Saccharomyces cerevisiae S288C: one gene and its partner. The protein of the gene in region 1 binds, or shares a complex with, the protein of each later gene. Each region holds a gene or a part of one and is shown in the gene's direction. Other genes may lie near its edges.

Region 1 (7,326 bases):
CTTGGCCATTCGTTCATATAAGAAGGTTGGGAACAACACATTAAGTCTATTCTTGTTTCAATGGATTTGACAAGGCACAGAGCGGCGTACGATGGGTTATTTGTCCAATGACATGAAATGCTCATAGCATTTCCTGAACCGCAAGGTAGCTGAGTTACGGCTAGTTTATTGAACGCATCCACTCTGTCGGGTCTTCTATAAAGCCCATTAATTACTTCGTATGGAATACCATCACCCGAGGCACATGCAATGGTATCGTATTTGCTGATATCTAAATCTTTGGCAATATCGATGGCGTGACGGGCATATTTTGTGTATGCAATTTCTATTTTGCAGCCACTTTCCACTAGTATTGGCCTTGCTTTTGTCAGGAATAAATTTTTAGCAGTACCTTTACCACCGTGGGGATTAATAATGACTAATATCGATCTGTTTCTCTTGGAATTTTCATAACTTTTTTCCAGGATTTCTTCCACAGTACCAGAAGAAATGTTCTCCTCTCCGGTATTTGCTCTCGATTTCCTAGAAACGTGATCTATTAACAAGGTTAATTTTTGTGGTATAACATCATGGCCCTTGGGTACAGCAAAAGTTAACTCAATTAACTGTTGATTATCTTTTATCCCTAAAGATGGTGAGTTATCCTGTGAATCATCGGGAGACACCTTCACAGTGTTCGTTTTTGTATCCCACTTGTCTTTTTTGGGAAATGACTGTGATTCGCTTACAGGAGCCTTATCATTGCTCAAACTATGATTCTCAACGTCGTCATTTTCAGACGAAGAACTCAGATTTTCCGTTTGAAAAGGATTCGAAGAAATTTTGCCATTATTGAAGCCTTTCTGACCGACATTCACATATTTTGCGTTCAAAATTCTGTTGAACGGAATGGTAGTATTAAGAGGCAACAGTTCCAGGGAATCATCCTCATCAAAAGAACCTCCATCAGAGCTCAAAGTTCCATCATCCAGACAGGACAAGCAGCTCAACAAGGATAAAGAATCTCCGCTTCTGAGTTGACCATGCTTATTGAACATATGGTGTGATTGCGATTTGATCAATACACCTTCATCGGTCAAGATAGCCCTAAGTTTTTTCTGCACCACCATTATCTATAGTAGATTCTTCGCGTACTTTTCGCTGCTAGACTTTTGTGTTCTTGATAACCTCCAGGATCAGTACGTTAGACAAGGGAAAGTATCAGATGGGTTAAACACGAATTTTCACCTTCTTGTATGCCTTTCTTCCGTTAAATCATCTTTTTGCTTCAAGACCCTTGCAGCACGTTTTTTTCAGGCTCGGCAGTAGGGTGACACCCATGGTTTACAAGGCGATAAAATGACAAATGCCAGGTGGTATTGTAATAATAACGGCAAGAGTATAGAAAGTCAGAGGGGAAAGCACATTGAATGGTCCTGGTAAAGGGAGTTGTTAATGAGTAAGCGGGGTAGTTTACAGGATAGAGCTTCCCCATCGGAGGAAACTGTAAAGAAGGCGCAGAAGAGACGGAAACCAATAAAGTCATGCGCTTTTTGTAGGAAAAGGAAATTACGTTGCGACCAGCAGAAGCCAATGTGCTCAACTTGTAAGACGAGGGGTCGTTCTGGTTGCCTGTATACAGAGAAATTCACCCACAAAATAGAAACAAAAGAGTTATTTGGCAGTACTCCGAACATTGAACTGTTGAAAAGGATTGAGGATTTAGAGAAAAGACTAGATGACAAAGAGTTGACGGAGAAGGATGTAGCGCTTAGTACGAGCCCATTTAGGAACCCTTACGCTAATTTTTACTATTTACAATGTAAAGGCTCGGGAAGAAGAATAGTATATGGTCCTACATCTTTGAGAACGCATCTCTCAAACGATGATAATCGGTTTGTAAACACGTATAATCAGCTCTGGTCCAAAGTGAAAATCGAGAGAAACAGATGGAAGGCTAGGCATAAATGGACAATGAAGCCAGAAACTCAACTCCTAGAGGGACCGCCGTTAGAAAAGACAGGCTCTGACATCTTGCAACAGGTTTGTAACGTTTTGCCATCTTTTGAACAATCGTCAAAGATTATAACAGACTTTTTCAATACTGAACTGGAAACTAATGAAGTTAGTGAAGTATTAGATAAAACCAAAATAATAAACGATTTCACTTCCTCGTTTCTTCCAAGTGACGAACTGTTACCCAACGGTGAAAGGCGGATTGAAAAGTTATTACCATCGACAAAGAAAAACTATTATAAGATTGGAGTTATTTTGATGATACTGTGTATTCGCCATTTCTACAAAAATACTCCGGAAGAGATAGAGAAATTTCTCATCATGCTGACGGGACTGTCAACAGCTAAAGTATATTTCATTGAACGCGCTCAATTTCTCTTATTGAAATACTATCATCGAGAACTAATTTGGGCGTGTGGAGACGATTCGCATATGATTAGTCTAGTTGACTTATTATGCAGCACGGCAATTATGCTGGGTTTACACTTGAATATAAGAGAAATATACAAAAATCAAGAAAATATTGTGGGGAGTATGGAAAGTTTGGAAAATTTGTGGGTTTGGATTATATTATCAGATTTCAATGTTTCTTTAAATATTGGGAGATGTTTGGCGATTAACTCATCCTATTTTCAAGTCGATGAATGCGAGAATGGTGAGAGGTTGCCTAAAAATACAAACAATTATTCATCGACGGTTTTTTTCGATCAGTCAAATTCCTGCATGGGCAAGCTTAAAAGGTTTTTAAGATTAGCTCGACCAATGCTAGATCAAATTTATGATAGAAGCGCATTTCCAGACTTAGCCGAAAATTGTAAAAAACTAAGAAACTTTGTAGAGACTGAATTCCACCCAATATCATATTACACTGACAGTGAGTTAATATCTAAAGTTCCTTTGTGCGAGATTAAAGTGCTTGCGCAGGTTTTGAATTTGTTGTTGACGTTTTATTCCTTGAGGTATTTGATTTACAAGGAAAAAAGCGTTGTTTTAGAGAACAACATCCTGCAAACCATTTTGGTCTCTTTTTCCCTTGTCATCAATACGACCATACTGTGTTTTAACCTAGATGAGAAGCATTTTCCTGAGTTTTTTGATCATAATTGCGTTCATTTACCGCCATTTATGGCCTTGTCTTTAGTATACACAAATTTCCTTTTTCCTAGGGCCTCTACTGGCTTTTGTGCGTTTTTGTATCATAAGTTAACTCTTTTTGAGAAGGGCTATTATCTATCATCCAACATCAAAGATCAAGAAGTCACAGATTGGGATTTGTCAACCTTGAATATCCCGTTGGATAAAGCTATGAACTTACTTACTGCTTTCAAAATACATTCAGATATATTTGCTAAATGGTCTAATGATAACAACAAGCAGTTAAGAATTATTATGGCTCGCTCTTATACATTTGTTATCAACATCGCCCTGGAAAGCATATATAGAGCTGTTTTGGAAAAAGTAATCAAATATAGAACCGAGGTCGAAAACACATGGTTACAACAACTCCAAGACGAATTGAATGGGTCCTATTCGCTCACTGACAATGTAAATACTCCAATCGATCCCAGTTTAAGTGACCTGGGCGTCACAAGCGCCAGTCCATTGGCGGGAAATTCTCCAGGATTACCCCCGGAGGAAGTGCGAAATAACAGCGAAAACGCTTCGCATAACAATGAAACTGGGCCAATTGAGACTGAACTGGCACAGACAATATCCAACGAATTTTGGACGGCGTACAACCTTGGCTGGGAGGAACTAATGAGTCAGCCAGATTATAAATATTTATTTGATACGCAGTAGAGGAGAAGTTCTTTTACAAAAAAACATGCTTGCGACAGCAGCTAGATAGAAAACTTGCATATTGTAATGGAAGACAGTCGAGAGCAAGCCATTGGCTTGGACTTGCGCTTGGACCTATCTTTCGGACCAACTATTTAATGATTAGTAAGACAAAAATGACATTTAAGCATCTATAAAATAAGAAAAATAAAAAAATGAAGGGAAAAAGCTAAACACTAACTTCTTGACCAAACAAACAAGGAAAAGCCAGTAATTGCGTGAACAAAAGGCACCTGCAATTGTTCTGATGGATGTACTTTGTCCAACCTATTCTGCAAGAAAAAGAAATCAACTCCAAAGAAGTATGGAGCTTACTGGCACTCTAGCCTCCAAAAGCTGTTAAAGTGTTCATTCGATTGTCAAAAATCTTCCCCATAATAATCACCCACCTCAACAAAATACTTCCACTTAATTATTGATCGATTAGAGCTAGCGTCAGTGATTATATGCTAGTCCGAAAGGACAGCCCCATGACAGCGGCCGCGCAGACGCCTAGGGGGGAAATAAGGGGTGACAATACCAATGAGTATAAAGGCAGAAAGAAGAGAAACAGAAGCACGGGGGTTTCGTTTGGTCTTCAAATATATGTTAGGTCGGTACCTTTTCATTGCAAAATTGAAAAGATTTGAGCGTGTAAAAGTAAAAAAATACATGATGGGTTCCCAAGATTTAGCTAGTTTAATTGGGAGGTTTAAATACGTCAGGGTGTTAGATTCGAACCCTCATACAAAGGTAATCTCACTACTAGGCAGCATAGATGGGAAGGATGCCGTGTTAACTGCTGAAAAGACGCATTTCATATTTGATGAAACGGTACGTAGACCCTCTCAAAGTGGCCGTAGCACTCCGATTTTCTTTCATCGTGAAATAGACGAGTACTCCTTTTTAAACGGTATTACTGATCTGAAGGAATTAACTTCGAATGACATCTACTACTGGGGGTTGTCTGTTTTGAAGCAGCATATTTTGCATAACCCAACTGCGAAGGTTAACTTAATTTGGCCCGCCTCGCAGTTCCACATCAAGGGATACGACCAGCAGGATTTACATGTCGTCAGAGAAACTCCTGATATGTATAGAAACATAGTTGTGCCCTTTATCCAAGAGATGTGTACCAGCGAAAGAATGAAATGGGTAAACAACATTCTTTACGAGGGCGCCGAGGATGATAGAGTTGTTTATAAGGAATACAGTAGCAGGAATAAAGAGGATGGATTCGTCATCTTGCCCGATATGAAGTGGGACGGAATCAACATTGATTCGTTATACCTGGTCGCGATCGTGTACAGGGACGACATCAAATCTTTGAGAGATTTGAACCCAAACCATAGAGATTGGTTAATTAGACTCAATAAGAAGATTAAGACCATCATCCCCCAGCACTATGACTATAATGTAAACCCGGACGAGCTAAGAGTTTTCATTCATTATCAACCTTCATATTACCATTTTCATGTCCATATAGTGAATATAAGGCATCCAGGAGTAGGCGAGGAGAGAGGCTCCGGAATGACAATACTGTTGGAAGATGTTATAGAAGCGTTGGGTTTCTTAGGTCCTGAAGGTTATATGAAGAAGACGCTTACTTATGTCATTGGTGAAAATCATGATTTATGGAAAAAGGGCTTTAAGGAAGAAGTTGAAAAGCAACTGAAGCATGATGGTATCGCAACCAGTCCTGAAAAAGGCTCTGGGTTCAATACCAATTTGGGTTGAAGGTAGAAGAGCAGCACTATTTTTTCATGTGCTGAACTTCAGGAAGCGCCGGCTTATATAAATGTCTTATTTAAATGTTTGTGTATACATCTCAATGGATTTTGAATTTTAACATAGAATGCGAATGCACAGTAACATAGTACATTCAGTTGCTATTTTCCGTATAAGCTTTCTTTCCCTTATAGCATACATAGCCTTTGACGTATTGCCAGCCTTTTCAAAGAAATGCGAAAAAATAGTGCATTACCACCTACGTAAGGTAGGCTGGAGAAAAAGATAAACTTTTGCATTCTCTGCTCACCATACCGCGAAGGAAAGTAGTTATAACGTGTCCCGTTTTCAACAAGGTTTTCTGGTATATTGTTAACGGTGGAGAAAGCATCTAGTATCAATTACTTCCAGAGTACACACAACGAATGTTATGTCTGTCCAAGATACTAAAGCGGTAGAGTTTTCTATGGGTCACATCAGATCATCCTCTGTATCCCTGGTAGCAGAGGCTACTTCAAACACGAATAGTGAAGACAAATTATCTAAGGTCCAACTCTACGAAGATTTGTGCCGGTACGAGGATACATTGAGTAAGTTGGTGGAATCTGTAGATCGTTTCAAACCAAACCTTGATATTGCCAAGGATTTGATCAGAACTGATGAGGCCTTGTTTGAAAACGTCAAACTGTTAGCTGAATATGACAATATCTACCGCAACTTACAGAAGATTGACAAAGACTCTGAAGAACTAGATTCTAAAACCAGGAAGATATTGGAAATTCTAAATGAATGTCATGACGAGTTAAAAGCACTACCGATGCTTGAACAAGTAGAGTTCGAGAAAAACACAATTTTACAGCAAAGATCGAAAATCAATTCGACAGAGTTGTTGGATTATGCCACCAAACTCTCCAAGTTTACCAAAATACCACCAACGTTCGACAAGGGAGCTGTGGGACCCAACAATTTTATATGGCCCGCAGAGGATGCCCTACGAAGAGGAATGCTTGCTATGGCCTCATTACATAGTAAAGAGCTAACTAGAATACCCGGTGAAGAAGTAGAAGAAACAGAAGTACCGACCGTACCGCCATCTCAAAGTGAAGAACAAAAAGGGCAGATGGCCAAGAAAGAAGGTACACCAAAGACAGACTCGTTTATATTTGATGGTACTGCTAAAGAAGTTGGTGATGAGGCAGACAATACCAAAGATAAAGAAAAGGAAGAAAATAATGATGATGCCCTAGATCTTGATCTTGATCTGTTTGATCCGGACGACTTCTAGTTGCAGTGTCTTGAATCTCTTCCTCGTTAGGAATGAAGAAAAAAAAAAGTTAGACAATAATTCGTGTAGGTAAAAGCGTATATAAAATTACATATATAATTTACTGCAATATGTCAAAGTGTATGAAAAACATTTGAAAGTAAGTTCCCACAGGAACTGGAAAATAAGACAACAAGACTGTGACTTCCACACGCATCTGTCGTTTTTGGCCATCTACTCTTCCTTTTTTGAAATAGGCTTTGGTGAGTAACCACTAAAACTCATTTTTCTCACACGTTCACCTGATCCACTTGCAGCGTTAGAAAATTCCTGCTTGAATCTTTCAAAAGCTTTAGAAAGGTTTTCCTCTTCTATTTCAAGACCATTTTTATTTCTCCATTCTTTGTAATCTTTGCAGAAATCTTCCCAATCTTCCTTAGCATTGTCCCACTTTTCTAACTCAATTGGTGGAATACCTAAGTTCATTTCTTCTTCTTCTGCTGTCTTTCCCTTTTCATGTT
Region 2 (3,045 bases), on another chromosome or scaffold:
AGTAACTGTGGTGGTTCTGTTTGCTGATAACTTTAGTTTAGGGAGACTATTTCAATCAAGGGGAGCAAGGCAAACTACACGAAACACAAGCTGTGGCATTAGCTTTTCCACGAGCGAAATATCACCTTTTTTTTTCTACTTTTCGTATATATGATATATATACGTATATATATATATACATACAAACATATATATATATATATATATATCAAATTTTGGAAAAATTTGAGTCAAAGTTGCATATGCAATATTCACAGTCTATAATCCGAGGGATAGAATGACTAAACGACGGCCCGCTACCGGGAGAAAAGTCGCTGTTATTTTTTCAGTCGCTCGTGGTCTATCGCCAACTTTTCCTGAGTCATACTGGACGTAGCGCGGCTGCGTCGCGAGCGTAGACAAGGCCTGTCACTATGTACGCAGCTAGCAATCCAGACATGTGCTCACGTACGGTGTGGAAACGGGACGCCACCGCAGTCAACAGCAGCTGCCATAACCACGTGACCAATAGCGTCAGCAGTATGATTACTGGGTGGTCGCATGCTATGCATCGCGTCAAACGGAGCAGGGCGGCCGCGCACGTGACAGGCGGCTCGACTATCGCACGCCACAAACGGGCGCCACAGGTCATTGAGCCGCCGCCACACCGCCGCCACGTCCATAGCGGTCCAGTGTCGAAAAGGCGGGTCACCAATCGTACAAGCTGCCATTTCTGCGCGTACAAGTGAGCCAGTGCACGACGCCCAAACACACGTAGCTCACCTAGAAGAAACATGCACATCAAGGTGGCCAAGAACACGTGCCCGGATGGATCGTGTCCTCCAGCCCAATGGCCTCCAAAACGTCTGCACTGTGCCGAGGTGGTTAACGGACCTTGCCACCTGTGCATCTGGTCATGAATAAAAGTATTGATGGCAGCGGCAGCGCTGGCCGTTACGTTTTTTGGGGTTTTCGGTTGCGTCGCCTGCAGGGCGCCCTGGATCGACCCTATGGAGCGGTCCCAGAGTTGTTGCTGACGGTGTTCTTGGTGGTGTCCGTGCAAAGTGAGGACATTGTGAATGAGCGCCAACGCGCGATTAGTCCGGGTGACAGAACCCTGGAAGTCTTCGTTCACGTGACCTGCATCATCGAAGACGTCATAGTGACAATGGCCACCCGTATATACGAATACCAAGTCCATGATGGGGCCTACGCCAAACCATATACCTTGCGTGAATACGTACCACCACACTGTCAGTATGGCATACCTTTTGAATGACTGGACAATGTGTCTTCGGTCTCTGCCGGTTGCCCCCGGCACCGCACGGTAGCGTATAATACACCACCATCCGACCAAGGAAGTCCAAAACCACCCTTTCTTTACCAACATAGCATTTACCAGACCATCCTTATTCAGGGTTGCTTGCAGCGCCGCACCGTAGCCATACGCGTTCATGAGATATCCTACCAGTACCGTCAACGGGCACACCAGTAGGTGTATAGCATTAAACCATTTGCTAGACATTGTTGTAATATGCCGTGCTTTATAGCTGGTTTCAGTGGAGTTTTAGGCGTTTCCCCTTTGGCTTTTTTCGAACAGTTCGTTTTGTATTTTATTTCACGGTTTTCCCGCTAACGTGTTCTTAAAGGATGAAAAAGAAAAAGAAATGCAGGAAAAATGAGGCAAAGTAAGCCAAAACTTATAGCACTCATAAGACGGCAAAGTTCCCCCAAGCTCCACCCAGGATGTCAAGCACTAATGGAAACGCACCAGCGACACCTTCCTCGGATCAAAATCCTCTCCCCACGAGGTTCGAAGTGGAGCTCGAATTTATCCAGTCACTGGCAAACATCCAATACGTAACGTACTTACTCACTCAACAGCAGATCTGGAAGTCTCCTAACTTCAAAAACTACTTGAAATACCTGGAGTACTGGTGCAACCCCCCTTATTCGCAATGCATTGTGTATCCAAACTGTCTCTTCATTTTAAAGCTGTTGAACGGGTTCATGGAGTCGGCGATCGTTAATGAAGATGGCCTGCTGGAAGGGCTAGACGAGCTGCCCAAGATCATTCAATTACAAGGCCCGCAATGGATGAATGAAATGGTAGAAAGATGGGCCAACTGAACACACCTAATTATAACTACATTCGCACGCATTCATATATCTATTTTATACACTCATGAATATATATACACACACACACATATATATATCACATATATACATATATATATGTATATATATATGCAAGCCGCATTACTTTGTATTTTCTTTCCTTTGTTTTCCTTGCATATTATCTCGCAAGACATTAGAAGATGAAAGCAAAATCAAAAAGCAAGTCCATCGCCGTACTACAAGCCTCGCCACGACTATGCCAGGACACGAATTGGAAGACGTAATAAATCAACGTTTGAACCTATATGATGTATTAGAATTACCGACCCCCCTGGACGTCCATACCATCTACGATGATTTGCCCCAAATTAAACGCAAATACAGGACCCTTGCCCTGAAGTATCATCCTGACAAACACCCGGACAATCCATCAATTATACACAAATTCCACTTATTATCGACCGCAACTAATATCCTCACCAATGCAGACGTGAGACCCCATTACGACCGCTGGTTAATTGAGTTCCTACGGAAAACAAACGACATTGAAAGAAATAAACTTATACAAAAGCTGGAAGAATCTGAATCGAGTACGATACCCACCACCACACCACATCCTGATTTATTGCAAATCCAACGCCACGGCGAGCTACTCAGGAAACTAAAACATTTCAACTTGCCCTATGGTGACTGGAAACATCTCAACACACAAGACCAAGAAAATGCTTCGCAACATCCGTATTACGATTGCTCTACTTTGAGAATTGTCCTTGACAACTTCCTGCAATCAAATAATAAATCAAACTGCTTATCTCATTTGCGCAATCAAGTATTCATCACGCTAAGTGCTAATGAAATCTACGACATCTACTTCTCTGAAAGAAACAACTACTCGAAGGATGATTCAATCATCATATATACTGTATTCGATACTCCCATCACAGC

The links. The genes of interacting proteins can lie anywhere in the genome.
Region 2: MED4 (region 1) and SOH1 share a complex: the UniProt entries of both Saccharomyces cerevisiae proteins name them as parts of the mediator complex.

What each region holds. Positions count from the first base shown.
Region 1 is NC_001147.6:652,776-660,101, forward strand, and holds MED4 (Med4p), read left to right. Parts: upstream 1-5,971; coding exon 5,972-6,826; downstream 6,827-7,326. Other genes in the region: sphinganine kinase LCB4, read right to left, coding at 1-1,109; YRM1 (Yrm1p), read left to right, coding at 1,435-3,795; DCS2 (5'-(N(7)-methyl 5'-triphosphoguanosine)-(mRNA) diphosphatase), read left to right, coding at 4,489-5,550; ALE1 (lysophospholipid acyltransferase), read right to left, coding at 7,040-7,326. UniProt on the Saccharomyces cerevisiae protein: Component of the Mediator complex, a coactivator involved in the regulated transcription of nearly all RNA polymerase II-dependent genes.
Region 2 is NC_001139.9:269,456-272,500, reverse strand, and holds SOH1 (mediator complex subunit SOH1), read left to right. Parts: upstream 1-1,725; coding exon 1,726-2,109; downstream 2,110-3,045. Other genes in the region: SCS3 (Scs3p), read right to left, coding at 362-1,504; U2-type spliceosomal complex subunit CWC23, read left to right, coding at 2,357-3,045. UniProt on the Saccharomyces cerevisiae protein: Component of the Mediator complex, a coactivator involved in the regulated transcription of nearly all RNA polymerase II-dependent genes.